Linked DNA regions of Rhinolophus ferrumequinum. The protein of the gene in region 4 purifies or fractionates together with the protein of the main gene of each other region. This does not show direct contact. Links are inferred from orthologs where the notes say so. Each region holds a gene or a part of one and is shown on either strand. Other genes may lie near its edges.

Region 1 (7,965 bases), on a different chromosome or scaffold from region 4:
AAAAATTGCTGAAGAGGAAACAATACCCAAAAATACCCTTTTTGATTCTTCTCATTGGGATAATACTAACATCTTCCAATGGATTTCTATTTCTGCCAAATCTCTTATCTTCAGAATCAGCGAAAAAGCACTATTTTTCTCTATAGTTGTGGCGGCCTGAATTTATCTCACACATATGCCACATTTCTCTGCATTATTATTATCCTGTGGTTTACTCTGAAATGGGGAGAGGTGCATTTCCTTTATTCTACCACAGACATTATTTCTTATCAAGGCATCACAAATATGTTATTGGTGCTAAAGAGAAATCCAAATGCTTTTGTGGGTCTAAACGCAGGTTAATCATACTATGCCGGGTCTAGCTGAGCTTAGTTTTCTTATAAAACCTAGGTGATATGTTTGTCATGTGTTCAGTGGGCAATCTCATTGATTGAACCCACTTATATTAAGTATTGGTTGATTTTATTTTGATTTGAGACTCTTATTTCTTTAAGATCAGATTCACAGGACTTTAACTTCAAAATGCTTGTTTTTCTTCTTTGACCAAGTTCCACTACAGTTTGCTATTAATATTCACCTGAGACTTGTTCACATAGTACTTACTGCTAAAGGAACCCAAACGGTCCATTCCCTAATTGGCAGAGACTTTGATCTTCCTCAATGCAGTGCTCCTTCAAGGAGATTTCAGAACTGGTCAACACATACACCAAAGCTTGATGTCCCCCTATGAACAAACCAAAGTGGCACATGGATCAGGAAATAATTCGAGTAAGTAAGAGAAAGAAAAGATAATGCAACATACTCAACTCTACCACATCCTTGCTTTGTGACACTAAGAAAATATTTTATTTCTATAAGCCTATTTCCCCCTCTGTAAAATGGGTATGATATAATAGTATCTATCTCACAGAGCTGTTGTGAGGATTAAATATCAAATTAAATATCCATACAAATAATGTACCATGGTGCCTGGCCAATAGTAAGCCCTTTACAAAGGCGACATTTCCCTAGTACACTACTGATTTTCTCTTCTTGGTCTCATTTCTCTCCTTAGCCCCCTTTCCTTAGGGAAACAGACTCTACATTTCATATGGTTCTGGTGGGGTTGCCACTTGGAATACTCCGTTCTCTACCCCCACAACAGCTTAAATGACCAGATCTCAGAGAAATCTGAATCTTGAATAAGACATACAAGGATGGAAGGTAGTTGGAGTTCAGTTATTCACTAGTCAAAGAATTTGGTCCATGAGCTCTGGCTGTTGAGATCCGAATCCCCAAGAGTGGCTAAACTGTTTAGTTTTCTTCTTTTTCTCATTTCACTCTTTCCAATAACACTTTAATATATGAATAAGTGTCTTTACCAGAAACCCAGGAATCCTATCCATTACAACATGCATTTGTTCACCAATTTACTCCTTGAACAAATATTTAATAGGTATGTACAATGTACACAGTATCTTCTTTAAGGCAGAAATACAAGTATGTATTTCACACTAAGCCAAGAAAACATCCCTCCTTCTATACTCCCATAGCTTTTTGTCTATCTCTTTTATGGCATTTTTTTACATTCTACTTTGTGAGGATTACGTATGAATACCTATTTTTCCCCATTTTTAGAGTAAATGAAAGCAGGAACTATGTCCAATACAAATCTGTATGCCTTCAAGTACTAAGCACAATGCCAAACACACAAAAAGAACTCAGTAAACACAAATGTATTGGTAATGGATAAATATTAGTTCCTCAAAAGGTTAATTTAAAAGGTTCTTCTGAAGTGACTTCTTTCACCGGATATTTTTAGGTTGAGGAATAATTCATCATTAAGTGTATCAACACTCAGATAACATGGCTGTCATGACCCTGTTTTTTGGGTGGTGGGCTGGGTGGGAATAGTTATCCCTCTGCTCTAGTCTCAGAAAAAGTTAGTCTTTGAAGAAAAATGAGTTTAGCAAAGGGTATTATGCACTTGGTAATAAAATAGTGGCCAACAGTTACTGAACTTTTCTCATATGCCAGGTATTGTGGTGCCACTGTATTTGGATTGTCTTTTTGAATCCTCACAACCTGAGGCGTACTACTTTTTTTCAAAGAAGGAAAGGAAGCCCTGAAAGATTATGTTACTTGTACAATGCCTTACAGGCAGTGAACAGCAACACCATTTCGACAGAGGTTAGTTGAGTGGGTCAAGTAAAGGATGTATAAACAGTCTGATAAACATTTCCATGGCATAAGCACAATATTGCAATCAGCAGGATCTTCTTTCTTCCTCTCCCTTCTTCTCACAAGAGACATTTCTGACACTAACATCCACCAAAGAAAGGATGGGTGCTAGCTCCAAATTAACATTTGTCAAACTCAAAGTTGTTACTGGGAGAACGGAAGGTACGTGAAGAACAGCATTAAGTGTGGTACAGAGGACAGGTGCAGGCTGTGCGGTTTTGCAGACAAGGTTCAAATCCTTTCATTCTGTATTAGCTGTATGACCTTGGGCAAGTCATTTTAGCTGAGCCTCGGCCAGCCTCAGCTCTAAAAAGTAGATGAAATACCTACTTTGGAAGGCCTACCTGAAAACTCAATGGGAAACGTCTGTAAGGACATGACACACAGCGGCTGTTAACGTAGTTACGCGCTCCACCATAGAAACGGAAATACCGAGGCTGAGACAGCGCAGGGCCGGCCAGACGGCTAGACGACCCTCCCCGCGGGGCGGGACCCAAGGGGTAATGCCCCGCCCCGCGCCGCCCTCCCCCACAGCGCGACGTGGCCCGGCGCCGCACGCCCGCCTACCCGCCGCGTCTCCCCAGCCGAGGGTGTTGCAGCCTGACCCCGATCCCCACAGAACCTCGCGGTCCCCGCCTCCCCCTCGTCCGGCTAGAGGGGCTCGCACCCCGCCGCTGCCGCCGCCGCCCGCCCTGCAGCGCCTCGTGCCTCACCTCGCAGTGTCCCCCTCCTGTGCGCCGAGGAGCCGCCAGCCACGTGCGCGCCACTGGGCTTGCGTGCTCGCTCCCGAGCGGCGCGAGCGCGCCCGGTCCCCTCGCGGCCCCGCAGCGTGCCGCGCGCCCTCCGCCTCCGCCCCTTCCCTTCCCTGGCCTTCGTGGCCCTGTCTCGTGCCGCGCGCCTGTCACTGTCCTCTGTCAGAGGCCTGAGAGGATGCGGGTGAGCCCTTTGCCTGACTTTCAGTCTGACCAGTAATCACTTCTCCCGTGAGGTGCGTTTCTGGTCGCCAGAGGCTTGCCGGGGCGTGGTGCCGCTCGATCCCCGCCGGAGTGCCGTGAGGTGGGGCGGGCCGGTACTGTCCTGCTTTTGTGTTTTTAACACTCTCACTCCTGTTGCAGCAGAGGAAATTGAGGCTAAGGGACTGGGCCCAAGGACGGCGAGCTGTGGCCGCCTGTGGAAGCCGGTCTTGGAGTGCTGTTCGTGGATTTACCAGACCGAATGGTTTAAGGGTGAACAGGTTACGTTTTATTCAGATGCTTCTGGAACGTCGAAATTGTCTTCTTTGGAAAGAACCATCCCCTCTTTGGGCTTCAGAGGCCCAGATTGAGGCGCACAATGATGGGAGGATGTGGTGGTCCACTCTGATGTCAATCTTGAGGGCTAGGTATGTCCCAACATCTCTTACTACTACTACTAATTATTATAATAGCTACTATATGCCAAGTGTTTATTGCATGCCAGTCATTGTACAAAGGAGGTTACATACATGGTCTCATTAAATCTTCAAAAATAACCTTTTGAGGTAGGCACTATGCCCATTTTCCAGGTGAAGACATTTAGACTCTGGCTTATCAATAAATAACTTGGGATCACACTGCTGGAAAGTGTTGGGGAAGGGGATTCAAACTGTGGTGTATTTTAATTATTCTGCTGTTACTCTATTTAGAAGTCTGTCTTAAAGGAAAAAAAAAAGAGAAACAAAAAAGATAAAGGAAAAAGTCTGTCTTTCATAAAATTGTCCAGCCTCTTTTAGAATTTTAGAATTCATTTACACTTTCTGTCTATATGGCCTCTTTATATTTTTTAGTGTATGAGTAAAACAAGTTCATTTTGTTAAAAAAAAAAAAAGAAAATTCACTAGCAAAAATGTGAAAAGGAGCCCCCTCCCACCATGTTCAATAAACAGTTAACATTTTGCTGTGCACTCTTACAGACATTTTTCTATGCATCATATCAATAAATACAGAGTAGTTTTACATTTAATGTAGCCTAAAAATCTATTCATTCAACAAATATTTAATGAGCAGACACTGTTCTACGTTCTGGCAATTCAGCAGTGAACAAAACAAAGTCTGCCTCTTATAATGGGAGGTTGACAATAAGTAATACACGTAATATATTGCTAAATAATAGATAATGCCCAGTAATGTGGCAATATTTATGGGGTAAAAGGCAGGATAAAGGGATAAGAGTGATGTGGGATGCTCTTTTAGATGTGATAGACAAGGAAGGCCTCTTAATGGAAGAGCACATAAGCAGAAATATAATCATGAAATGAGGGAGGCAGCTATGTGGGTTTCTAGAGGGAAACTATTCTAGGAGACAAGAAATGGCAATCGCAGTGGCCCTAAGATAGGGACTTGCTTGGCATTTTGGAGAAGAAGCACGGAGACCAGTGTGGTTGGAGCACAGCAAATTACAGAAACAAGTTGGGAAATAGAGGCAGAAGTCAGATCATGTATCATCTGGTAAACCATGGTTGGACTTTGGGTTTTATTGAGATATAGAGTGCCGTGGAAGGTTTGAGAGCTAAGGAATAATCAGATTTGTTTTAAAAGGATCATTCTGGAAGCTGTGTGGAGAATAGGTGGTAAAAACATTAAAATTGGCCTTTAAAGCATAAATTATCCCTTTACACAGCAATTGTTGAAAAGATCGTTTATTAACATCCGTGTTTCACCTACACCTTAACACTTGTATAACTACTCGCACATTCTCCATAAAGAGGAGATAGGGTCAAACACTCAAGACTTATCTTCATGTCTTTCTCACCTAAACTGAAATTTTTTGAGACTGGCGAGGGCATACATCCAGATCTGAACGTCATGATTGTCAACAAACGGAGTATGAGTCATTAATGTTGTACTATTGTGGAAAAAACAGTCCCTTATGATACTAGGATCTATTCATTAAAAACATTACATTCAAGCACCTGAAAATTACCCTTTCTCTTCAATTTATGTTAGGCCCTGATTAGAATTTAGTCATTGTTCAGCCGTAAGAAAAGGTGAAATAATACCATTTGCGACAACATGGATGGATCTTGAGATTATAATGCTAAATGAAATAAGACAGAAAAACTAGAGAACCATACGTTTTCACTGACATGTGGTAACTGAAAACAACAAAAGAACAAGACAAACAAATGAAGAAACAAAACCTCATAGACATAGACAATGGTTTAGGGTTACCAGGGGGTAAGGGGAGAGGGGCGATGGTTCTAGAAAAGGGTAAACGGGGTCAAATATATGGTGATGGAAGGAGAACTGACTCTGGGTGAACACATAATATGAGATATAGATGATGTATTACAGAATTGTACACTTGAAACCTATGTAACTTTACTAACAATTGTCACCCCAATAAACTTTAATTAAAAATAAATAAATATAAGTAAAAAAAAGAATTTAGTCATTGTACTTAAGAAAGATGTGGAGAAATTAAAATGCACAGTGAGAAGAAGGATAGCACTGATTAAGGTAGTGATTTTCTGAATTTTTGCCTTCAGCAGTGTAGTGGATAGTGACATCAATAAGACCAGCTGAAGGAAGAATAGATTTGGAAGAGAAATTAGAAGTTCTGTTTTGTATCTGTGTTTTGCAACCTGAGTGGAAATGACATAATGAGGTCAGAGCTCAGAGGAGAGGCAGGGGCTAAAACTGTATAATTGTTATTAGAATTGTTTCTTTGGATGTGTGTCTTCTTTAGACAGAGCTTGAGGACAGACACTGTGTCTTTTCTTCTTTATAACCTCAGTGCCCAGAAGTGCATCCTGGACGGATATTTGTGAAATAAGCAAGTAAAGGCAAAGGTATGGATGAAGTCACTCAGGCAAAATGTATAAGGTAAAAAGAGAAGCTATATCCAATCTATGCTTTCACTGGCGGTCCAAGCACCTGAACATGACTTACAAGTAGGGTGACCATAAGTCCCAACTGGCTCAGGACAGTTCTGATTTACTCCTATTGTCCCAATATAATTAGTTACATTGTCTCATTTCACTCTCAAAAGCGTCTCAGTTTGTACAATAAATTATGTGATCACTCTTTGTAGAAGGCCCTTCAAGGTCTAGTGTCTTTCTGTTTGTCATCACTGCCCCATCTCACACGTCATTCTCCAGCCCGACGGACGTACCTTGATTTTCCGTTATGCACCCTGTTCCTTCCAAGCTTCCTTTGCCAGGGTATCTCCACTTCAACTTAGACATTACTTCCTCAGGAGCATCTCTCCTGGCCCCCAAGTCTGGGTTAAGTACCCCCTTTGCATACTTCCAGTACAACCTGTATTGAACCTGTCCTAGCAGGGATGACTAAGTACCTCGTTGCTTCCCTCACTAAACATGTCTGTAAAGGAACCTGAGAAAACACCTTTCATCCTCCTTAAGACAGAAATTTACATTACCAGGATCAATCCAGGTTGGGTTAATATTTTTTGAAGGCTGACCTTCAGAACAGATTAATAATAGCACATTCTCCAAGCCCTTCCATTCATAACTAACTCAGAAGGCTGACTTTTGAATTCGAAACCCAACGAGGAAAATTGTATCATACTGTCAGACTTTGTATTGTGGCTGCCATTGACTGAGTCCAAACTATCCCAACAACTCCTTTTCAAATACTGAGCTGCGGTTGTTAAAATCAGAAGTGCAGTTTCTGAGCCTCCCTCCCTATGGAAATGATTCTCTACCATTTCTAGTTACTTGTTACGTCCAGAGTTCTCAAAGACTTTATGAACTTTATCTCATCTAATGTTTATTTTTTCTTGTAACTGAAGTGGCTCTCTGTATTTTGGTATACAAATAGATAAAATAGAAAATCTAAAAGTCTAGCTATGCCTTTTAGGTTTCAACTTCCTCCCCTTTAAACTCTGAGACATACCAGTCAATGTAAATTAACCAGGAATTTAGGTCCCAGAGCAGAGCCCTTTGCCAGTTATAGGGGCTCTTCAAGGCTAAGAGTCTTCCTGTGACGCACTCAATAGAGAGGGCTTCACTCCACAAAAGGCCTGAGCCTCAAGGATTACAGTTCTTGAGGCCCGACTCAGGACTGGTTCCAGCCTCCTTATTCTCTGTTGCTATCTCTGGCATCAAGAGCATTGCCTTCCTCCTTCCTGCCCCTCTCACTCCACCCTTCCCTATCTTTCTCCCTTTATTGCCACCCTAGTGGAAGGAGTTAGGGAATCAATCCTTTTCCTTCCAGAAGGTTCCTAGACTGCTACTTAATCCACTCCAACTATGATCAGTCTGCAGAGGAAGGGCTGATGCACCTCTCCTAATCTGCTTAAAGAAATGTAAGATCTAGGGAGTATGTGATATCTTGCTCCCAAGAATATGTCATCATTTTGGCTCAAATAAACTTACAAACATTTAAAAAAAGAAAAAAAGAAATGCAAGACCTACATGTAGCCATTTCTCCACACAGTGACCTGTCTGGGGTGCTTCTGCATAAGTAGGAGGGCCCCAAAGATCTCAAAGGTGAACAAGAGGGGAAAGAAATTCTGGTGAAGGGCCCTGCAGTATCCCACTTTACAGATGAGGAAAAACAAGGCTCAGAGAGGTAAAATCACTTGCCCAAAAGACATTCATTTACTATGTAGCACAGCCAGAATTAAAACCACATGTGTCCAAATGTAACTTAAGAAACCGCTTCTGACTATTTAAAACTGAAGAATTTAGCAGGAATCAGGGTTTTATAATGCTATGGCCATTAAGTAGAGGTTTCATGAATCCAAACCTTTGCTACCCATCTC
Region 2 (7,976 bases), on a different chromosome or scaffold from region 4:
GTTACATTTTATACATTTTATAATAAGAAACTGGCAACAGTCCATAGCAAATTATAGTGCATCCACTGACTACGAAGGCACTTTATTATGTGAGGACATGATCTTGCATGTAGAGAAAACCCTAAACATTCCACAAAAAAATTGTTAGAACTAATAAGTGAATTCAGCAAAGTAGCAGAATACAAAGTCAAATGAACAATATCAAAAGGAAATCACAGAAATAATTTCATTTATAATAGCATCAGAAAGAATGAAATACTTAGGGATTAACTTAACCAAGGAGGTAAAAGATTAGTACAATGAAAACTACTAAACACTGCTGAAAGAAATTAAAGACTTAAATAAATGGAAACACAACTCATGTTCATGGATTAGAAAATTTAATATTGTTAAAATGTCAATACTACCCATAGCCATCCACTGATTCAGTACAATCCCTATCAAAATCCCAATGACATTTTCTGCAAAAATAGAAAACCTATCCTAAAATTCATATAGAACAGTGGCTGCCAGGGGCTGGGGGGAAAGAAGGGAATAGGGAATTATTGTTTAATGGGTGCAGAGTTTAGTTTTACATGATGAAAAATGTTATAGACATGAATGGTGGTGATGGTTGCACAATGTTACGAATGTATTTAATACACTTAAAAATGATTAAGGTGGTAAATTTCATGTTATGTGTATTTCACCACAATCTAAAAAAAAGTATACATAAGAGTTAAATGATAAGTACATTTTTTTCCATTATCGACCACATCCTTCCTGATGGAGCACATGTAATAAGTGCATTTATTCGGGGGTAGGGGGAGGTGACATAAGGGAGGAAATTCTGCAAACACTATGTCAAGCTACATATTTTTAAAACCTAAAGAGCTCTTAACAATAAATTAGAAAATGACCAACAAAAAGATGCAAAGGACAGGAACAGAAATTCACAAATGGCCGATAAATGTGGAAAAATCTTCAACCATATTAGTAATCAAGGAATGGAAAAATTAAACAAGACACCATTTTTTATCTATCAAATTTAGTTTGGGGGCAGATGAAATAGGTGTCTTGAAGGCGGTCTTTTTTCTAATTCACACTCACTGTCTTCATTTCCTCAATCCCGTTCAATTATTCCAATGTGGTTTCCACTTTAGACCTCTGGATAGTTAAGTACTACCAATGACCAAAACCAGCAACCTCCATGATTTCAAATCCAACTGAGCATCTTACTAAACATCTTAGAAACACTGATAAGAGGACCAACTCTCCATCTTCCAGACACTTACCTCTCTTGGCTTCCGTGACACCAGTCTCCTGCTTTTCCCCCTAACTCACTCTTTCTTTCTGTCCTATGCTCAATCTTCCTCTACCAGACCTCAAAGTATTGGAGTGCCTGAGACTTGATTTTCACTTATTTATACTCTTCCCCTGTGTGATATCATATAGTTTCATAAATGGGAATATCATCCATATAACTGAGTACATACTCCCAAATTTTTATCTCCAGCTCTAGTCTCTCTTCTGTGAGTTCCAAACCTGTACATCCAACTGCCTCGTCAACATAACAACTTCAAAACTAATATGCGCCTCAAATTTAATACATCCAAAACAAAACTAATGATTTTTCCCACCTTGAAGTTCTCTCTTCCATTCTTCTCAGTAAATGCCATCGTCTACTCACAGTTGCTCAAAAACAAATACTGAAAAGCAAAGACTTCTTCCTTTCCCTAACCAATCCATTTATTCCAAGTCTTGTTCATTCTTCCTCAAAAATGTTTTTTAATCTTTCCATTGCCATGGACCTAGTTCAAGATACTGCAAACAGCATCCTAACTGGTCTCCCAGTTTCCACTTTTGCCCTCTTCTGTCAGATTATGCTCCTTACCTATTAATACTCAAAATCTTCAAAGGATTCCCATAGAAACCAGATTCCTAACCAGGGCATCATCTGCTCCTATCTTTGAAAGAATATACACAGCCAAAAATATACACTCAATGATAGTATCTGTAGACAGGAAAACTATGGGTACTTTTTCTCGTTTTGCTTGTCTGTAGTTTTAAATTTTCCCATGATGAATACTTGCTACTTGGTTGTTAAGAAAGAGGAAATGATATTGCTGAACACTATTTGTTACATCGCATTTTTACATGCTAAGGAGAAAAGGGAATGGAAAATTGTAGGTAATCTCTAACTGTAACTGTTACAAGCTTAGATGAAACTACTAGCAAACATATCGACTCTAAACATGATGTGCCAAGGCTGTAGGATTACTGGTGATATTTTCCTTCTCTACTTTCTATTTTTGAATGTAAGTACATTCGTAACAGAAAACAAATATTATGATATAAACCTCATTGTCTTCTGCAATCTGGCCACAACCCACCAAACCAGCCTTTCTTCCAAGTACTCACTGTCCCATGCTTTCCACTCCAACCCCGCACTGTCTCACACCTCCGCTGCTTTAACTTGGGCACCATCCCTGGAATATCCTCCGACGTTTCTAAATCCTACTCATCCTTCACGCGGGAGGAGGACGGCTAGGATGGCGACAGGTTGGAGGGAGATTCCAGGATTCTTGTTGGTAAATCCACAACTTGCTGGTCCTGGGGCCAAATCTCACCACTAATCCCATCACAGGCCACCAAGCTTATCATCCTGAAACCTCCGGCCACTGGAGCTCAAGGAACCCCCATCCCTCAAAAAGCGCTGCGCCCCTTAGAAAAGGAGTCCCCCCTAGACATACCCAAATTCCGGGTTCCCCCTTCGGACACTTCCCGGACATACACACTCAGCCTGGATCCAGCCTCCCCCCCAGATCCTCTCCCCTCCGCAGTCATCCGCCCCTCCCTCCGCTCCGCAACCCGGGCCGCGCGGCCGGAGGGGTGGGGGAGGGGCGCGCACGTGCCCGCGCCGCCCCCGCCCAGACAAAGCCCGGGAGAGCGGAGCGCGCACCCGGCCGGTCCCATCCAGCTCCCGCCAACACTCACCCTTTCCCTGGTCTCCGGCTGAAGCGCAGGCCGCGCAGGGGGAGAGCACCGCGGAGGGGAGGGAGCGGGCGAAGCCCTGCAGAGCAGCCCCACCACGAAGCTCCAGCGACCCCGGAGCCCGCGGAAGCACACAGCTCAGTGCAGCCCGCTCGGCCCTGCACGTCACCACTAGGGGCGGGACGGGGTGCGCGCAGCGGTGGCGGCGGCGCGCGGGCGCGCGACCCGGGGGCGGAGCTCGCAGAAATGTGGGCGGGAGCGGGCGGGAGGGGCGGAGAGGGGGGCTGGCCCTGGCCCACGTTCTGACCCTGGCCGGCGCTGCCGCTCCTCGTGGGGTGTCTGGGGATCGGTTCTGGCAGAGTCACTGTCATTTATCCTTTTCCTCCCTAGAAGGAAATGACGCAGCCCAATCCCAAGTTTGACAGAATATTCTGCCGGCATTTGTGAAGCTTTTACAGTACAGTAATAACAGCAGTAGCTATGATTTTTGTGTCATCTCGTACCAAGCTTTGTGCCTAAGTAGTAGAGACACAGATAACTATAGGTATTGCCAACCTACTTTACAGATGCAGAAACTGAGGCTCAGAAAGGTTGGAACTTACCTATGTCACACAACTAGTCAGTGACAATCCATCAAGTCCAGGTTTCCTCTTAAATATCTTAAGTCCACACTTTCCTTTCCCTCTCCTGTACCACCCTGCCCCAGACCCCTTCATCTCTCTTCCCAAGACTACTCTGGTCTCCCAGCTGGTCTCCAGGGATCTGATTCTGTCCCCCTTCAATCTGTTCTCCTGTGTAAAGATTTTACCTTTGGAGCTGGGTGGTAGGTTTAGAGGGGGTACACTTTGTAATTGTTTTATACTTTACATATATGTTATTAAGTTTTTCGATGTATATAATGTTTACTAAAAATATTTTAAGGGATTTACTCCTTTATCTCCAATAGCAAGCCCAGTGCATTGCACATAGCATGAGCTCAAAAAGTATTTGTTGAATGAATGAATAGTACGGCCAGGAACTGACTCCAAAACCCTGCAATATAAGGGAATAGAATATAATATGTCACCCCAGCCTTCTGACCTTAACGTCTACTCCTGACCTTAAGGGTAAATGAGATTGATAATATTTGTTCAGCAAATTTTTGCTGCATTTCTATTCTGTGTTTTGGCACTGTGTCAAGACTGCGTCAGGCACTGAAAATCAGAAATGAACAAAACAGTTCATTTTAGTCAATCTAATGTGAAAGTCTAGGAAAGGCCTCCTTGAGCCTTAGGCTAAGACCCAAAGAGAAAATAGGAATTGGGAGATAACAATACTTTTACTGGAGAAAGACGTAGGGTAAGAGGTCAGCAGGAGTGTGTCAGTGTTCCTCTACTTTGGGGTCTAACCCTGAGGCAGGGGCATAGAAGTATCCAGCTAAGTGGGGGGGGGGGAAGAGGGGGAGGAGGGAGTGTTAGAAGCCCACTTCCTTTGGCCTAGCTTGAAAGGCTGCCCATTTCTGGCAGAAGGTTCCCATTGAGCAGGACTTGGGAACAGAGAGCAGCACTGGGAAGAGAGAGGAGTCAAAAAATGCGGCATGGTGTCCACAATTTGCACCTGGTGTGCCAGAAAACCAGCCTTCTCTGCATGCTCCCTGCCAGACAAATAGACAGAGCCATGGACAGGCCAATGGGCGCTGTGCCAGGTACCAGGTGATGACCAGAGGCAGTGGAGGGAGGACTCATTGGCAGGGAATGGCTGGAGAATGGAGCTAAGACCCCAAGGATAGAACGAGCTGAAGTGCTCCCAAGTCAGCTGGGGAGAGGAGAAGGGATGGAGGTGTGGGAGCGGGGAAGGTGAGACATTAGATTCTCAAAGTGCCGTAGCAACAGATGATGAGCTTGCCAGCCAGCAACCTCAGCAGCTGATGCCAGCAGGGCCATAGTGACCAGGCGTGACCAGGGAGGCCAGTGAGGACCCAGGCTACAGCTCACAGTTCTGTACCCCTCCTGCCACTGCCTTGGAGCTTCCCTTGGATCCCACAGGCCATCTTGGGAAGTCAAGAGGGGAGAGGTGAAAGTTCTGACAGGACTGCAACTGTGCATTGACGAAATAGTTACCCTAAATGAGACTGTTTAAGATCAATTAACTGTTTTTTCTCTCTTGGAAATTTTATCCGTTCTGGGGACAGGGAAGCAGGCAGCCCCTGCCTCCTGCTGAGGGTGTCACAAGCCCTCCCTGTCTTCCTTGCCATTGATGGGGAGGTTCCCATGTTCGAAGGAAGCCAGGAAGGCCTTGAGCTTGAGCGGGGTACGGAGGGTGCCATGTAGGTGGAGAGCGAGGGGAAAGAATCCAAGCAACGGGGGCCAGGACCTGGTGATTCAGCAGCAAGTCGAGCAGGTTGTAGTCTGCAAAGGAGACCTGGTTGCCCATGATGAAGGCCTGGTCCCCCTGGTTCGAGGACAACAGGGTCTCAAAAGACTTCAGGCGCGGGGACAGTTCCTTCACATAGTCCTTGTTGCCCGCTTCATAGTTGGTATAGATGAGGGTGACGTACTTGGAGCGGAGGTCCTCCATGCTGTCATTCACCATGTCCATCAGGGCCACCTCCCGCTGGTCCTTCCCATAGAATCCGAGGGAGACGCTCAGGTGGCTCAGGATGGCATTGGATTGGTACAGGGTGAACTTGGGGAGCTGCCCATACAGACAGGAGGCCTTGAGAGGGCTCCACGGACAGTTCTCCTCAGTCACCAGGTCCTTCTTCCAGCTCTGACCCTGCTCAGACAGCAGCATGCGCCTGGCCTTGCAGCGCCCTTAAACAGGGAAGTAGACAATGGTGTAGGGCCTCTTGGTTGCCGCGTAGACAAAAGTGCTGGCGGCGCTCAAGACCAGATAACTTTCCTTGGCAAGTTTAAGTTTAGCCCAATCCCCAAAGTTGTAGTGATTAGAGCCCATGAGAAATAACATAGCTACCGATTTTTACACATATGCATGCAGTGTTGTACATTTCAACAACAGATAAGCTCTGTGAAGGAAACGGACGGTGCTCAGAAAGCACAGCACAGAGGGACCAAATTTCGTGTGAAGGTAGAAAAGGACTCCCTGAAAAAAATACGAAACGAAACCTGAAGGCAGTAGGAGCTGTTGAGTCACCATAAAGCCTGAGACCAGGTGAGAAGTCCACGGAAACTTAAGCAAGAGCAGAGGGGCTGGGGATGGGGCTGACTTAGGCAGGAGCAAGATCACGCAGGAGGGAAGAGTTTGATCTTTATGGTAAGAACGACAGGAGGCCTTCAAGGGTTTCAAGCCAGAGAGTTAATGTATTCAACTTGCCCTTTAGAAAAAGATCACTTACCCTGGCAAATGGGTGGGGAATGACTGGGAAGGTGTGTGAACAAAGTAGCAGCCAGACAGTTGCAAAGCAATTTGAGTGGCAAAGGTGAATAATGAAGGTGGTTTACACGGGACAGTGGAAATGAAGGGAAATGGATACATTCAATAGTTGCGGAGAAAATGCTGAGAGACTTGGTAATGAACGGGGAGGAGACCAGGGAGGAAAGGAAAGGAGACTGGCCCTGCTAAGTCAAGTGGCACATGAGGAAAAGCCTCCCCATCCTTCAAGCAGACAAAGACCTGTGCTGGGGCACACAGCTCGGCGAGTGGCAGGACGTTGGATTGCAGGCCCCTCCTTGGCCAGGCCTCCTCAGGCATTGTTCACCTGTACAGTCACTAGAGGTGGGGTGTGGGGGTGGGTTGGGGAGTGGAGCAGAGTGGGGGATGGGGTGCGGTGGGGGTGGGGTGGGTGTTAAATGTACAGTGTTAATGAAAGGAAAAGCAACTCATATTAAAGTTAGTCAGGAAGTTTCCAGTAGTGTTGACACTGGCCCAGGAAAAGGAGCCAGTAGTTTGGGGGGTGGTGGTGGGGGAGAACCTATGCTGGCAACTGCTGGCAAACAGCTTCTTGCAGCAGAGAAACAAGGAAAGCCTGAGAAAGGTGGGGAACCCGAAGCTCTGCCTGAGAGGGGGAGGGGAAGCTGGCTCAGATGGAAAACTGTAGTTAAACTGACCAAGCGTTCCCAGGCCCCAGGTATCCCGGACATCCCCCTGGGAAGACCAACCACCCTTCCTAAGATTAACAGGAGTGGGAACTCTGGAGCCCTTAATGTAATGAGGTTCCCCTACCAGGGTGCAGATACTAATTATACATGTAAAATGAGGACCTCACTTATTTACAGCTCCAAGCAAACCATTAATGTAATTAGTGTCTGGGAATTACACTTAGGCAGTTAGAAATAAATCGTTGTCTCCAACTAGGTCCAAACAAGAAGCCAAATGTCTGTTTGTCCTATTCGGATTTTGGCAAAACCAAATTCCACTCTTGCAGATCCTATTGGATCCTACCCTAACCCAAAAGAAGCCATGTATTGTGCTTCTCTGTGTGGATTGCACAGTCACTGTAGAATTACAGTCTTTGGGAATGAGGGTGATGATGCAAGACGTGTTTTCATTCATGGAAAAAAAAGGAGGGGTAGGTGGAATTTGCCCTGAAAGGAAACATTCTATGGCTGGAACTGGTTGGACTCTCTCTTTGTTTTGTATAAAAACGAGGCCTCTAGATACGGAGAACTTGGACCTCTCGTACATTGCTGATGGGAATGTAAAAGCATGTAGCCGCTGTGGCAAACAGCTTGGCAGTTCCTCAAAATGTTAAACACAGAGGTACCACATGACCTAGCAGTTACGCTCCTAGGCAAATACCTCAGAGAAATGAAAGCATATGTCCACACAAAATTTATATAAGAATGTTCATAGCAGAAGCACGTCCCTCAATAAAGTTGTTAAAAATAAAAAGAGAGGCTTCTGGACAGATGCTAAAAATGTCTGAAAATTACTTGTAAAGGTAAGGTAAAGTAAATATAAAATTTCAGCTATAATATGGTGCTGGTGGAATTTGGGCAATGTGAAGAGGAGAATGTATAAAAATAGTTCCACTTAAACTTCCAACTCAAATTTTTAAAGACTGA
Region 3 (8,108 bases), on a different chromosome or scaffold from region 4:
CAAAGGGGTTTGATTTCTTTGCCTTGCAATATCTAATAAAAAATCTCTCGGGGGAGGAGAGGTAAAAGACTGGTCAGCACGACACTGGATTGCCAAGCGCACATCATCTGCATCAACGGTAGCTTTCTTAGCATGGCTTGAATAAATTTTTGCATCATCTAGAATTGTGGTCACATATCGGAAGGCAAACTCCAACATCTGATTTATAACTCTTGGCTCATATTCTGTAATCCCCATATCCTTCAGGATTTGTGCCATCATCTGTGCATCTTTCGGCATGCTCTTGGGAGAAGCCATCTTGCCAGACTCCATGATATCCGGTGATCAGACTTCAGATCATTTGAAAAAAATACGTACATTAGGTCAAACCTGAAATAGTTACTATAGTAGCAACTGTCAGGAACTTAAAAAATTTTAAATACGTTAAATTTTTCAAAACATATTTAAATTTTAAAAATATGTTAAATCTTTTTAATTTTAATGAGGCACACTTTAAGAAGTTCCCTTAAATTTATTGAGTTTCTACCCTGTAGAAATCATTATAGAATAAAGATACAATTATAAGATAAACAAAGATAAAGACACAATAAGGGAGTGATAAAAGATGAGGGGGAAATGGTAAAATAAGTAAAAACATATTTTAGAATATGTGCAGTTGCATGCAGACATGCAACTATCAAATTAATGTAAGAAAATACCACAGGACAGTCATGTTCTACTGTCTGATTTCAAAATAATCTGTCCTTCCAGTAAGATCAATATAACACTGTCTCCAAAGACATCCTCAGCACCACCCAAACCTTTGTGTTGACCCATCTCCAAACATTGTCCCTCTTCTTCATATTCAGATTCTACCTATCCTAAATCCAATCTCTTCATGAAAACCTCAATTATTACTGTCCACAAGAACTGCTAGTCAACTGGGGAGCAATGTAATGGTCAAAATAGCCAGGACATAGCTTTAGACACTTAATGCTTATGATTTCTATGGATCCCCAGTAGAGCATAACTCCTTAATGGCAATCTTTCTCTGCATGTTGTACCCTCTCAAGGATAGTACTAATACTCCATTATCTGTCTCTCACACTCTCTCTTTTTAAAAACAAATTTAACATCAAAATGTCCCTTACCTTCTCGAGCTAAATCACCCACATTAATGTATTTCAGTCCTGATCTTGATGCAAGTTCTTTGCCCAGCGTGGTTTTTCCAACCCCTGGTGTACCTGTAAGAAAAATACTGTTCATGAAATACTTACTAGGCTTTAGTAAGCTATGTGCCCCGCTTAAGGTTAATGACTGAAATGAAGTTTCCTAATTAGCAATCCCATGTGAATTAACACACACAATAACCACCCCAAGCATGATGGATGTCCAAGTCTCACCCAGTGTATCTGATTCTATCAGGAGTGTGGCTTGGGTGATTCTGATGCCAATTCAGACTGCTTGCCAACACTATGGACATTCCCAGAGTAAAATTAGCCATCCCACATAAATTAATATCCTTGTTCGCTTTAATTTTTTAAAAATTAAGAAATTATTCACGGGAAAAAAATCTAAGAAGTATGAAAGACAAATCTCATTTCCACCTGTGATCCCCTGTACTCTTCCCTAGAGGCAACCACTGTAAACCAGTTCCTTATATATCTTTCCAACGAAGTCCTATGTATGTGTTTGTGTACACATTCATGTATATGTATACACAACAGCATGTGTACATATATGTATACATATTATGTGCACATACACACACATACATTCCCTTTTACATAAATGGCAACGCTACACATTGTTCTTCACTTTCCCTTTTTATTATCTATTGTATTTCAAGATGCATCAATGCATAATTTTAGGCTGTTTGGGTTTAATGTCACCGAAATAATAAAACTTGATCGTTACAATCCAAGATAACAGGGATAAATCAAGTCTCCATATACAAGACAATAACATTTACCTTAAGTCCACTATAATACACCAAGTTTGAACCCTGGACTTACCAGGTTTTCAATAAAATGCTCACCTTGATTTTTGACAATATGCCTTAATATCAAAATCCAGGACACTGTCTGACCCAAACAATTCAGATGCCGTAAAATCTTCCTTTTAAGGAATCTTAAAGGCTGAACATTAATTTGTTGAGAGGTTAATCTGCAACTCTCAGAAACAGAAATTGTGCACTACCAACAAGCTTATGTTTTGTTAAATGATGAAAACTTTATTGCTTTGTTTCCAGAGTGTCTCAATTTTTCTGTGTTGTAATAGCACCTATAACCATTAGATTTTCTTCAATGAATGCCCTATGATGCTATTAACTGCTACAATTTAATAAACATTTTCAGAGTTAAACGACAAACAGTAACATTCTTTAAAGTCGTTATGCGGCATTTCAGTACTCCTCACGTATAACAGGCCGGGAGACCCAGAAGGGCCCCCACGGGAATTTTTCAGCATCTCTACACAAGAAACGACGAGATGCTCAGTAGATGCCTTTTGTTCTTGGAAGAAAAGAAAAAAGCCTCTGGCATTAACTCAACAAACATATATAGCAAATTAATCACCCTATACCACAAACACCTGAGCCCTTTTACTGAAATCTGACTCTCAGATACAAAGGAAAAATGAAACACGGCCAGGTAAGGCCTAACGACTAAGGCATCCACCAGTAACAGATCTACTAAGGGCCAAATACTGCCTTACAAGATATCGCAAAAAGCCAAAGAAAACCCTGCCAAATAAAGAATCAACATCCATTTTAGAAACAAAAACCAGATTCAGGAAGAGCAGGCAGCATGCCAGAAAGGGGAACTAGATTGGTCTACCTCTCTCCACCTCACCGAGCAACCTCGGGCCAACAGAACGAACGTTCCCCTCCCCCCCGCCGCCTCCCCCCCGCCGCCTCCTGCTACGATCGCGAGGGCCCCATCTCGAGGCCCTGGCAACTGCCACGCCTCGAGGCCCTCGACTGGCCTCGAATATGTGAGCGCCCCCGCTGTGTGTGTGACAAACACACACTTCGGGCGCCCGAGGCCCCAGTGCACTCAGCGTCCCTGGCCTGCCCCGCCGTCCAGCCCGTCCCCGCCGCGCGCCCTGACCGGTGAGCAAGATGTTCGGAAGCAACATGGTCCTCCCCGCGACGGCTCTGGGAATATCGGCACACGAGACCTAAGTATAACAGGCTGGAGCCGGAAGGAGCGGGCCGCGGCAAGCGCCAGTGGCCCCGGGGTCCTCAAGATCCTGCACGGCGCTCGCGACCCATCTCCGCCTTCTAGTCACCAACCATTGGTTATCTGACCTTCTATGACACAATTCCATCTCAGGGTCCGAGACAGGGACACAGTTCGGGTCCGCAATTCAGGTCAGGCAGTGCGCTGGATGCCTAAGTCGCTTGTTCCTTTGGCTGCCTCCGCCCTTCGGGCTCTGTCGCGGAAGGGCCGATGGGTCTGGAAGGTCCCGTGAGGCGGGACCTCGGAGAGGCTAGGGGCTGAGCCCGGGTAAGACCTGGTGGCTTCCCTTCTACTGGAGCAGAACCTGGGTTCCTTCGCTCCTCTCCGCGCATGAGGTCATGCAGCTCCCCGCAAGTAAGGCCGCCGCGGCTGCGGCTGCAGTATATGTCCTAGTGATGCGAGTCCATCTCTGCCTGCACGCCTTCCCGGGGTCTCGTCGCTCCTCCTTCCTACTTGCCCATCCCCTTTGGCGATGAGAGGGTGGGGGTGCAGACCTCTGGCCTGGAGCCGGCGCAAGCGAGCGGATCTCGGCTCTCCACTGATGAGCAGCATTACGTTGCACAACTGTCTGAGCTTATTAACCCCTGTTCAGTGTGTAGGGTGGTGGTGGGTCTGCTAGAAATATTCTCGAAGGTTTCTTCTACCTCTGACGTCTCGTTTCAGGACCCTGGCATCGTCAAGGACGGTTACCTGCTTTTTAAAGGAGGTAATTGTCAGTCTTGTTTTGAAAGAACGACTGGACTCCTGGCCGTAGCGACAGTCTGTGCCTTTTACTTCGACCTGCCAGCTAGATGTACTCAATGTTTTTAACATCTATGTATCTCTTGAAACGCCAAAGCAAAAAAACTCTAATCGTGAACGATTTGTATCTGTATGTGTACGATTTGTTTTCTAGTACGTGGAAGTATTTACACATTATGTGTGCCTCCACGCTATTAAAAAAAAAGTCCCATAGACCTCCCAATTTATAAGTTTATAGACCTTAAAAAAACTTTCCTCTGGCTAACTTAAAATTGGCGAGTTTACTAGTTTTGTATAAACACTGAAGAATTATGAAAGTCGGAAAATATAGTGTTGCCAAAAAATTTCCTAATATGTTCAAATAAGGAAAACAGTTATAGGAAAAACTTACAGTAAGATTTAAAATCTTTGTCCAAAGTGAGTGATAAAGTCTGAATTCATTGTATGGTGGAGTGTTTTTGTTGAAATTTTGGCAACTGTAATTTGCCAAATTACAAAATTACAAATTTGTAATCAACTGTAATTTGAAATAAGGGAAATTTTAAATTTTCCTATAAAAACTACACAAATAGAATGTCTAGTTTTCCTTAATGACAAAAGGTAGGTACACAAATATGTGGTTTTTCCGTTTTCTCTAGTTATTGAGTTCGTATCAAATAATTTACATTTATAATACCATGAATAGACTGACAATTATAGCCATTAAAATTAAAATTTATTTTAGCATTTGACTCTTGTTTCACCTATGTTTACTCAGTTCTCTTTCACTTAGTTCTTTTTCACTCATCTTGAGCCTTAACCTTCTTATGCTGTTGATTATATCCCATATGTTAATTACTGTCCTTCTGTTTTACAGTTTTTCTTAATTGAGAATTTTTCCCCCCAGGTGAATTATACTTTAATGTACTACAGGTTATATACTACGGATGGGAACTATTAAAGTTTATAATGTCAAAACCTTTTCTTAGACAAAAGCTATCTTCCACAAAGGTATGATACACTAAAATTGTCCTGTAATAATTGCCTTAAAAAAAAAAAGTAAAATTTTTGTACATGTTTTTAATGATTTATTACTGCTATCAAAGTAATGGTGCCAGTATCTGTTCTAATTAGTGATCTAAAAAGTCTAATAAGTTATGAAACAGCTCTGCACTAAAAGTACAACCTTAATTTTGAAAAGTCATTTGCAATCCCAATCAAAAAGAAAATGCTGAAAACTCTTGAAAGAGCAGTAGAAGAAAGGACTATATGAATTGTATTTGGTGTTAAAGCTTAACAGAGGCTCTGCCTCTTAGAAATCATGTGGTTCAGTGTGCCAGTTCTCAGCAAGGTTAGGGGGTAGAGTAGGATGAAGGTAGAGTTGGACAGTATCATCCTCATATGCAAAGTAGCTATTTTCCTAATGGTTTGTCTGATTTTTCTCTGATCTTAAGTAAATTATTTAACTTTGCCATTTCTCTCTTTTTTCAGTAAATGGCAGTCCACATTTATGTAAGAAATAAAACTATAAAACATATAAGTAACATGTAGATCAGAATTGTTATTCACACATAATATTTTTATATACTCTTAAAAATTGAGGAAAAGGGCCAAAATTATAGTAATAGTGACAGTCTTTTAAAGAGAAGGAGACGAATTGGGTAACTATGACCAAATTTTTTCCCAGAAGTTTTCATTTCTTTACCCACTGCTGATAATATTCTAACCCTGTGTCCTTAAAAGAGGAGTGAATATAATTAAGTCATATTAACAAATTATTCATAACATCAGGAGTCTTAGACTATATCCTCACAAAGTCTTGAAGCTGTTAGGGATTATTTGGATGTATTGAAATGTAATGTATTACCTGGTGAAGGCAAAAGTGTTACTTTTCTCGTTGTACATGGGTAAAATAATGTTTCTTTGTTTTGCTTCTTTTTTGGTAGGTAATTTAAATATTTATGTTTCAGTTCTACAAACAAGTTTAAAAGAATCAGCCTATTCTTTATCGTGGGAAGATTACATTGATAAAAAGAATTAAGTTTATATCTTATATTCCTTTATATGGTATTCATCATTACCAAGGTCAAGTAGACAAGTATGCATTTGTATTTACTGTAAAGTAGAAATATAAGTATTACATATAACATCAATTCTATTTAAAGAGCTAATTTGCGAGATGTTTGTTTTAAATGTTGCAAATATACAAACATTTTTTGTACACAGTTTAATTACATAGGGAACAGATGCAAAAAATGCAATAGTATTTACATGATTTCTTTTTTTCAGGTAACAGACTGGGTAGACCCATCATTTGATGATTTTTCAGAGAATACAAGCATTTCTACTATTACTGCCACATCATTGGGTGTGAAAAACTCAAGTCATAGAAGAAACAATTTGTCGTCCCCATTAGAAAGTAGCAGATTTCCAACTAGAAAAAGAGGAAAACTATCTTCCTCAGAAGACATTTATGGTCTAGAAAATTCAAAAGAATATCTGTCTGAAAATGAACCGTGGGTGGATAAGTACAAACCAGAAAGTCAGGTAATAAATAGCATGTAAACATGTCTATGTAATTTAGTTTCATAAAGGAGAGGGATGTACACTTTCAGATTATTACTCATAGAATTCTTTTTATCTAAATGAATTAGAAAAAAACCAGTGTCTTTTTTTATGTCCCAAGGCTCAGATTTTCTCAGCAATTATTCTGAAGTTGTACAATTGATTATTTGTATTTATCTTAGATTAAACTTAACCCAACATAGAATTGATCTAATCTGGGTTTTTTTTGTTGTGTGTGTGTGTGTGTGTGTGTGTTTTGCTAAATGTAATACCTATTTATTTCCTTCCCAAAATATATTTCAGGATTTTTAAAAAATCGTATAATTCCAAACCTGCCCAGTAGTTTTCGTACAATAGTGTCAGCTTACAAACATTTTTTTCATAACAATAGAAAAAATTAAATGTAATCAACCTTTTCTATTACTATATCATATTACTTATTTTTTAGTGTTTTCTTGTTTGTTTTTTAGTGTTTTCATTAAAAATGTTTAGATTAATCTGTGATGTACCAAAAATCCTTCAGTTAAAATGTTTTATTTTAAACTTGATATTTTTAGCATGAACTTGCTGTGCATAAAAAGAAAATTGAAGAAGTTGAAACCTGGTTAAAAGCTGAAGTCTTAGAAAGGCAACCAAAACAGGTAATTCAATAAAAAATGTGTTTTAAATATTTAGCATCAAATGTTTTTCTGACTTATAGTTAGTTTTAAGAAGTTAAACTTTTATGTGAGAAATAAGTTCAGAAAACTCTATTTCGTGGAAAACTCTCTGATCTTACTAGTATTTCTGGCCTCACTAAAAGATTCTGAGACTTTGAGTTTTCTCCTTTACTTATATGTCTTTTTCCTTCTTATGTCCTGTCATCAACATAAAGCACAGTGAATCAGTTAGGGTACTAGTGTATTTAGCACATCAGATTATCTCACACTGAAGCAAGCTGGCAAATTACGAATCAGTTTTTGTACTAAATATAGCCTAAAGCAGTCATTCATTTTACACTGATGTGTTTTGTTTCATTTCCTAATTCCACAATTACTCTTGGCCCCCAAGCTAGAATACTCTCTCTTTTTAAACTTTATTTTGAGTTGCTTCAAACATAAAGGAAAATAGAATTTATTAATACATACTCACACCCATAGTATATCTATCATTTTCCCCCTTAAGTATTTTAAAGTAAATTATAAACATGTGACATTTCAGTCAGACTCTTAGAAACTTCAGTGTGCCTATGTTTTATTTTGTTTTTAAAAGAAAGCATTTTCCTAATTAACTATAGGTACCATTCTGTCTAACAAAGTTAACCGTAATTTCCTAATGTTATCTAATGCTCAGTTCATAGTCACATTTCTCCAGTTTTCCCCAAAATGTCTTTTAGAGCTGGTTGGTCACAAACAGAATCTTATCAAGGACCACACATTGCATTTGATTGTTATATCTCTTAGGTCTTTTTAAATCTAGTACAGTCCCAACCTTCACCCTTTCTGTCCAAGACATTGACTAATTGAAGAGACCAGGACAGTTGACTGGTAGAAGTCTCAGATTCTGGATTTGTCAGGTTGTTCCATCCTCATGATGACTAACTTGTTCTTCTATCCTGCATTT
Region 4 (8,078 bases):
ACCTCTAGCTCCTGTTGGCACAGCTCCAAGTTTTCATAACTGCTTTCAGTTTCTCCACTACAGGAAGCTTCACCTCACCCCACTCTGCTCTGCCAAGATTCCTTGGCACCCACTGACACTTCCTCCAGGAAGCCATTCCTACCCCAATGGTGCTCCAGACCAGGAACTGCCAGCTCTGAGTTCCAGCAACACTTTAAGAAAGCAGTTCTTTTTAATTTCATTGTAATTGGTTCCCTGCCCACACCTCCCCAGGCCCCCAACACATGTGTGTGCACGGCACATGCTCGCGCACACATACACATACATACACACACACACAAACACACACACACACACACACTCTGTAACTCCAGAAGGATAAATTCTGGGTGTCATAGCCCCAGCATCCAGCACAATGCCGGGCACCCAGTTGGGACCTCTCTAAATATTTACTGAATAAATGAGCAAATACAAAGTGACACTTTCAGAGTCTCCCCGGAGCAGGAAGAAGGGTCTTTATTAAGAGATTCTCGCTTCCTATAAGTTTGATTGTGAATGTGAACATGAAACACGCAAGTCACAAACCTTACAAAAGGTGCTACATCTCACTCTTGGAAATTTGAAAGGATCCAAAATATCAATGCAAGGCTCCTAGTTTTAGAAAGGACCAAAACTTCAGGAAAGTTTTTGGATATTAAAGCAATAGCGGGCAACAGGAAGAGAAGGTGCTCATGATGGAAAAACCTATAAAAAGGCAGGGCAGAAACACTAAGTGGACACAGTGCCTATATGAGCCCACTCTGGCTGCAAAACACCGAGTCCACTAAGTAACTGACCTTGTTCCTGATTACTCTAAAGCCTTCAATAACCAGCTCCTGGCCGTCACCTTTCTTAAGCACACTCCACATTTTATCTTTTTTGCATTCCGTCTTCAGAAATACCAACCACATGGCATTATTGTTTCACAGTTTCAGAATTCAAAAGAGTCGTATAATATACTGTCCCGTTCTGAACTTGGGACTTGCTATCTGGAGTGAAGTCAGTGAACTAGCATCAAGCCACCTAAGAATGTGTTAGAAATGCAGATTCTCAGCCCCACCCCAATTCCACTAATTTAGAATCATCATTTTCAACCAGCTCCCCAGGTGATTCCCATGCACATTAAAGTTCGAGAAACACTGGGCTAGATCCTACATCCACTCAACAAGTATTTATTGAACGAGTGTCAGGTACTCAACAGGCGTTCAACATATACAAGAGGATGTGAATGGTGTGGGAAAACAGTAAGCACAGACACTCCAATGCAGCTGAGAAGCTCCTGTAACTACTAAAAACAACATCACCAGGGGGGAGAGAGGTTCTGGAAGGATTAATAATCTTTACACCAAAATTCAAAACTGGCCACTGCAGCTCGGTTGTGGGAATCTGGAAACATGACCCTGTTTGCAGCAGGCGGGAGGAATACATAAGAGGTGTGTGAGTGTGTGAGGGTGTCTCTTCCCTGCCTCAGCCACAGGCCGCAGGAGCTGACAAGGCCAAGTCCCCGCCCCCTTCAGCTGTCACCCTGTCAAAACAAAGCCGCTGCTGACAGCGCTGGGCCAGGCTGCCCTGCGGCCTCGGGCAATCCTGCCACTGCGGGAGCACGGCGTCCACATCTGGATCTGCAGCTGAGGGGCTACGGGGTGCCGAAAGCTAGGATGGAGAGGGGATGGCAAGAAATGTGTGTCCTCAAACTGAGCAGCAGCGCCTGCCGCGCTGGGCTGTCACCTTGCCAAAGCCTGTTTACACCCCGAGCAGCTGGGACAGCGTTTTAACTAAACAAGTAATAACACAATAATGACGGGGCTGTCGCCGCACGCCGCAGTGCCTCCACCCTCAGTGGAAGGAGCCCAAAGCTACAGGACCCTCGCAGTGAGATGTGCCCACCTTCTCACCCGGTGCGTTCCACCCCTTCGATCTCCCAACGCTCCGGGAGTCCCGCAGCCCATTCCACCCTCACTCCTTCTTCCAGCTCCTCCCAATGGGGCACAGGGAGACGATGCGCGAAGAGGGGGTGCTCAGATTCCCCCAAAAGATGTTTCCTTGGCCCTGGGGCGCTCGTTACACAGTGAGCACTGCTCCACTCCCGGGAAGGCACCCCTGGCGAGCTCCTACAGAGCAACAAAGCCCCAGGGCAGCACAGCAGCGCGGACACAGAGGCTACTCCTTCCAAATGGGAGGAAAGAAAAGCTCTCGGTCTTGGTGATCCCCCTTCTTCCAACCCAAAAGCGCTCCTGTCCGAGAAGCAGCTAATTGGGCGCGGGCGACAACAGCACTTCCGCGGTGCAGCGGCCCCAGGCGGGAGGCGGGAGGCGGGAGGCGCGGGCGGGAGGGGGAGGGGGCGGGGGTCCCGTGAGCTGGGCCCGAGTCCCCTTCGGCGGTCCGGGAGCGGCGAGCGAATACCTTGCAGGCGGAGTACACTCCGAGTTTCTCCAGTTTCTTGGCCCGCGGAGCGGAGCGCAGTTGCGCCTTCTTCACGGCGATTCGGGCCGAGCCGCCGCCTCCTGGTCCTTCGGCCGTGCCCGCCGCCGCCACTGCCGTCGCCGGTCCGCAGGCGCCCGAGCCCCCGGCGGCGGCGGCGGCGAACGGGGAGCCCTGCGGCGGCACGGGGGGCGGCGCGGGGGGCTGTGGGGGCAGCGCCCCGAGCCCAGCCCCGGCTCCTGCCCCACCGCCACCCGGCCCGGCCCCGCCAGCCTCGGACATGCCGCCCCGCAGCACCGCAGGAGGCGCCGAGTGTCAGGCGCCGCCGCCGCCGCCAGGGTCTCCCTCTCGGGCTCTGGTCTCAGGGAGAGCGAGACCCTCCCCCCACGCCCTCCCGCCCCCTTTGCCCACCCCCCTCCCCGCCCCCGCCCGCCCCCGCGCGCGCCGCTCGCCCGGCTAGCTCCGGCCGCGGCCCGCGCGCTGATGGTGGCGGCGGCGGCAGCTGCTCCCCCAGGAGGGAGGGGACTAGCGGCTCCGCGGCCGCCGCCGCCACTGCACACGCCCTCCCCCGGTTCTCCTCCCCGGGGCTCTGTGAGCCCTGGCCGCGGACATGTTCCTCGGGGCTGCGGACTGAGGGTGCGTGCAGGCGGTGCCAACCTCTCGGCGATGCCAGAGCCGGGAAGCCACCCCCCCTCGGCCTCTTTCCCGCTGCCCGCGGGGTTTTGCACCCCCCACCCCCGCGCCTCTACTCCTAGCGCTCACCCGCCAGGGGGCGAGGCCAAGCTCGGGAGGGGGTGATGGATGGGGGCGGGGAGGTAGGGGGCTGGAGCCCAGGCACCTGCTGGCCGCCTCTATCCCCACAGCCCCCGCTGCTGACCCCCGCACTTGCAAGCCGAGGGTGCGGGGGGGACTCCCAGTCATTTGTTCTTCCACTCTGTTCCACCCTCTCTCGGAACAGAGAACTTCCTCCACCCTAGCGGGAGCCAGAGGAAAATAAATATTTTTTTAAAGTACCCGTCTATGTTAATCCTTTTCTTTGTTGCTAATTCACCAAAATAGAGGCGTAATGTTTTCTGTTTCTCTTTTTAAATACTTTTCTGTCCAACTTTTTTCTTTTTAATTAAGAACGCTTTCTTCCTGCAGTAAATTCTGGGTCCAATCGGCCAGAAGAAGAAAAAGACTTAATATTTTTGTAATTTTTGTTTGAAAGTGCTGGTTGTTAAAACACACACACACACACACACGGTTGTCTAAAAGCACTGTCAAAATGAAAACTGCGTACTGGGGAAAGTTTGAATACAAGTTTGTTAATAGGGCTCATCTCGGTATAGTGTGGTGATAATCTTGCTATATTCTTTTCTATAATGTACCATAGTTTTCAAAATTGATACCACCAGCAGGCATATTAACCATGAAAAAAAATTAAGCACACCAAATATGAGTACTGATTTTGGCCTCAAAGTTAAAAAATCAACGCAGCGTTTAAACTGTTGAAAACTATCGTTTTCCTTGTCCATGACGATGAGGGTTGTGTTTAGTAATGTGGAATGAACATTGCATTTTTTCATTTGAACGTTGTGCATCCTTGGTCAGTCTTTCTAAAACAGTTTTTTAAAGCCCAGGGCTGCTTTTCAGGACCCTTCACAAGTGCCCTGCTTTCATAATGTGAATGATAACTTTTATGTAATATGGGTCATAATGTGCATATTATCAAATTCTTTGCATGCTGTATTATTCTCACCCAAATCCAGCCAGAAATATTAAGGAATGTGCTTTTCCCTGGAAATATTTCCCTTCCCATTCCTGTTTTTGCCAGTTAATTTTCTTTTTTATAGATTCTCTACATTCTTTTGATTTTTAATGCAGAGTGATATGTAAAAATGGAAAAGTGTTCAAAGTTTGTACATCTAACCAGTGGCATTAGACGAGGCAAAAGGAAATATCCTCTCCCACCTTGAGTCCAATCTGAAGGTCTGAAATGGCAAACTCTCCTCAGGTCGTTCCCATTGGAAGAGTTGCTTGGGTGCTTCACTTTACCACTGTTACTCTCGCCTTACTCTGCTGAGGTGTTTCACAGGTGTTTTTTTTTTTTTGCCATTCTTGCCAAAGCAGCATGGGAGTATTAAAGGCTGTGATCCTCTGGTCAAAATCTAACATCATGATGTTAGCAGATATTGATAGGGGTTTGGGTTCCACATGTAGGCATTTGTCAAACTGATGGACTGGTCCACTTGATATTTGTGCATTTCACTGGATATAAATTTCCCTCAAATATGTTTTTAACATCATACATATTGACCTCTACTTAAAGTTTCTCATGCTGAAAGTTTAGGTGTGCAGTGCCCTGATATCTGCAATGTGCTTTGTAATGCACAAAAAAATCAGATGGATCGATGTATCTGTGAATGGGAAAATAAGCAGATGAGCATATATATGATAAAGAAGTGTCAAATGTTAAGAGTGTATCTAGATAGAGGGTATAGAAGTGTTCACACTGCACAATTCTTCCAAATTTTCAGTATGTTTGAAATTTTCCATAATAAAATGTTGGGGGCTGGGAGGAACCCAGCTTTACTATTAACTCACCCATCACCTCCTTCTCCCAAAGCCACTCCCAGAATTCAAATTGCAGGCTATTTGCAGAATGTTTGAAGAAGAAAACAACCTCATTTCAATACACCCTGAAAACCATCACTGTCTGAATGGTGAATGGCTTGTGACATCTACTGAACATTGTTTTTCATTATTTTCTTGCTCAGGGCACCCAAATGACATACTGCCTTAGGCTGAAGGCCTAGAGTTTGAAGGCCTATTCAAAGTGTGTTATGAGCACCAGGCAGGGACATTTCAAGGGCAAAGGATTCCGGAGACTTCCTAACCAGGCTGTTGTGAGTATTTAGCTCCTGTGTACAGAGCCCTTTTAGGAAATGGGTACCCAGAAAATAAAAGTCAATGTTTTAGTTTACAAAGTATTTACAACTTACTGACGTAAAGAGAAGCCACAATTACAAAATAAAGGGCGTGGGGAGTAGGAATTATACGGGTCAGGTTGACCACTGGAGGTTACTTTTGGCGTATTAATACTATTATGAGATTATTACAAAGAATGACCTTTATATAAATATAACAGCATAGATAGATCTCCAAGAAATACTGTTGAATGAACCCCTGTACAGTGTAATATCATTTATGTTAAAAACAAACTGCCCCCCGCGAGGAAAAATAAATAAATAAATAAAAACAAACTCATTGGCATATAAGCACAATCCTGTATGTGTTCAATAATGCATATAAAAATGCAAAAGCAAGAGAAAGATTTAGAAAGACACACAGCAAATTCTTAAAAGTAGTTCCCTTCCACTGGGCACCCTTGAGAATAAAACTTATTTTCTCACTTTGTATTCCCCTGTTCCTCACTCAAAGAAAGTTTTCAATAAACACTAGTCATCATTTCTACCTGTAAACTCTATCTTCAATCTTTTCATACCTGTCTCCGTGGCCATCATCTCTCGCCCTGACTATTGACAGCGACTTCCTAACTGGTCTCCATGATTTTACCCTTGCTCTTCCACAATCCCCTCTTCATAGTTGTACAGAGGTTTCAAACTGTAAATGCAAAACGTATTCCATACTTCCCTGCTTGAAACCTTCCAGTGGTTTCTCATAACACTTAAAGCACAATCTCAACTCTATAACCTGATCGGCAAGATCCACCTCTCCTGGCCCTTCTCCCCATGTGGTAGTACATACTCCAGCCAGACTCAGGAAGCTCTTTCCAGCCTTAGGGCCTCTGCATTTGCTTTGCTGCCTGAAACCCTCCCCCAAACAGCATGGCTGGCCCAAAATACCTTTAGCGTTACTTTATTCATTTTTATTTTTAGTTGTTCTTAATAACAATTTTACATATTTAATATGGAAAATAGGAAAATAATAGGCCTAAATGTGTTGGCTGAGCATTGCTCTTGTAGAGAGAGAAGGTTTTTCCCCATTGTTTTGTTTTAAATACTAACATATGTGCTTGTTTTACCAGCCTACCTACCATTTACAATGAAGGTAGAAAGTAAGTAGAAGAAATGAAGTCTCCTTTCTTCCGAACTCAGGCTAAATGGCTGACAGCTTTTCTAAAGCAATATCTGAGTATCTATGTCTTCAAGCATCTTGAAAATTATGGAAGAAAATAAAATTTCCAAAGAACCAAACTTTGATATGACCTACATTTTCTGTAGCAATCTGAATAGCATGAATTTTATTTTTGTTAGTGCCAGATAATTGTTTTTTTAAAAAAACCTAAGAGGGATTCTAATTCCCTAACTCTGTGAAAATGGTCATACACATAATTTCACAAATTTAGAAAAAAAATTTTATCAGGACAGGTTTTCTAAGTTTAGGGTTCCCTTAGATGGGCAAACCAACTACCTCTATTCCCTTAATCTTAGGTCCTGGTTGGCTGAGCACAGCAGCTGACTCTCTAGGTCTAAAATCAAAGCTCAGAGCAGGGTTTTCAACTTATGAAACAAGTGTTATACATCAGCAACCACTTTGGGTAAAGAACTCAAAAAAGAAAAATGGAAAGTAGTACGGTACAGTTGTTAGACAAGGCGAGAGGAATGAGCCGTCGTGGGAACTATACTATAGTAACATGATATCTTCTGAAAGCACAAACATATTTGTGTATAGTAACATGATATTTTCCCAAAACACAAAAATCTGTATATTGTTATATTTCAAACACATAGAAAAGTTCAGTGAGTGAGATAATGTCTATATTCACTAACCAAATTTTCTCGTTTTCATTAGCCAGATATGCTATATGTACTAGTAATTAATTAGTTTAAGAAATCCTTCATATCTCCCTTTATCTCATATATATATTATTAGGTTAAGAAATCCTCCTTCGTATCTCTCTTTATCTCATTTCCCAAGTATCCTTGTATCCTCCTTCCTCGTGTTTTTTAACATTTACAAAATAAACCCTGTAGAGAAGGGTTGGGTGAGCCTTTACTGTAAAGGGCTAGATTGTAGATTAGGCTTTGTGGGTCATAGTCTCTATTGCAACTACTCAGCTTTGCCAAGGTATAGTGTTCTGGAAAAGAACACTTCTTTCTCTTACATGGCTGGAAACCAAGAGGATATTAGCCTGTTATAACTACCCACCAAACACTCCCATCTTGCTTGTTATTGTTGTTTCACTCTACATTTTGTTTATGACACAAACCAACTTCCTATGTGACTGTAATATGTTAGTTTGCTGGGGATGCCATAACAAAGTACCAGAAACTGGATGGCTAAAATAGCAGAAATTTATTTCCTCACAGTTGGAATGTTAGAAGTCCAAGATCAAGGTCTTGGTGGGGTTGGCCATTTTCCTCCAATGTCTTCACGCGGTCTTCCCTCTGTGTATCCCTGTGTCCTAATCTCATCTTCATATAAGGACACCAATTATATATGACCTCATTTAACCTTAATTACTTCTTTAAAGACCCTATCTCCAAGTATAATCACATCTGAGGTACTAAGGTTTAGGAATTCAACGTATGAATTTGGGGTAGGGGACACAATTCAGTCCATAACATGCAATAAATAGTGAATTAACATACTGAACACTTCTGCCAATATATTTGAACAATTCCCATGTTCAC

What was found.
Region 1: the proteins of KAT2B (region 4) and TADA2A purify together in Homo sapiens (affinity purification with mass spectrometry; 6 studies listed by BioGRID and IntAct, with this or other methods). This does not show direct contact. The link is inferred for Rhinolophus ferrumequinum from reciprocal best matches to the Homo sapiens genes KAT2B and TADA2A.
Region 2: the proteins of KAT2B (region 4) and YEATS2 purify together in Homo sapiens (affinity purification with mass spectrometry; 3 studies listed by BioGRID, with this or other methods). This does not show direct contact. The link is inferred for Rhinolophus ferrumequinum from reciprocal best matches to the Homo sapiens genes KAT2B and YEATS2.
Region 3: the proteins of KAT2B (region 4) and TAF9 purify together in Homo sapiens (affinity purification with mass spectrometry; 3 studies listed by BioGRID and IntAct, with this or other methods). This does not show direct contact. The link is inferred for Rhinolophus ferrumequinum from reciprocal best matches to the Homo sapiens genes KAT2B and TAF9.

Annotation. Positions count from the first base shown.
Region 1 is NC_046304.1:23,902,619-23,910,583, forward strand, and holds the start of TADA2A (transcriptional adapter 2-alpha), read right to left. Parts: upstream 3,001-7,965; 5' UTR 2,934-3,000; intron 2,693-2,933; exon of another isoform or gene 2,565-2,692; intron 725-2,564; 5' UTR 629-724; coding exon 604-628; intron 1-603. Other genes in the region: ACACA (acetyl-CoA carboxylase 1), read left to right, coding at 3,151-3,156, 3,336-3,601. UniProt on the Homo sapiens protein: Component of the ATAC complex, a complex with histone acetyltransferase activity on histones H3 and H4. Required for the function of some acidic activation domains, which activate transcription from a distant site. Binds double-stranded DNA.
Region 2 is NC_046285.1:61,258,040-61,266,015, forward strand, and holds the start of YEATS2 (YEATS domain-containing protein 2), read right to left. Parts: upstream 3,180-7,976; 5' UTR 2,977-3,179; intron 2,801-2,976; exon of another isoform or gene 2,733-2,800; intron 2,598-2,732; exon of another isoform or gene 2,401-2,597; intron 1-2,400. UniProt on the Homo sapiens protein: Chromatin reader component of the ATAC complex, a complex with histone acetyltransferase activity on histones H3 and H4. YEATS2 specifically recognizes and binds histone H3 crotonylated at 'Lys-27' (H3K27cr).
Region 3 is NC_046290.1:44,820,316-44,828,423, forward strand, and holds the start of TAF9 (transcription initiation factor TFIID subunit 9), read right to left. Parts: upstream 3,145-8,108; 5' UTR 3,118-3,144; coding exon of another isoform or gene 3,090-3,117; intron 1,224-3,089; coding exon of another isoform or gene 1,131-1,223; intron 330-1,130; 5' UTR 313-329; coding exon 1-312. Other genes in the region: AK6 (adenylate kinase isoenzyme 6), read right to left, coding at 1,131-1,223, 3,090-3,117; cell cycle checkpoint protein RAD17, read left to right, coding at 3,552-3,575, 3,885-3,927, 4,849-4,952, 6,231-6,488, 7,064-7,147. UniProt on the Homo sapiens protein: The TFIID basal transcription factor complex plays a major role in the initiation of RNA polymerase II (Pol II)-dependent transcription.
Region 4 is NC_046300.1:27,741,130-27,749,207, forward strand, and holds the start of KAT2B (histone acetyltransferase KAT2B), read right to left. Parts: upstream 3,145-8,078; 5' UTR 2,722-3,144; coding exon 2,422-2,721; intron 1-2,421. UniProt on the Homo sapiens protein: Functions as a histone acetyltransferase (HAT) to promote transcriptional activation. Has significant histone acetyltransferase activity with core histones (H3 and H4), and also with nucleosome core particles.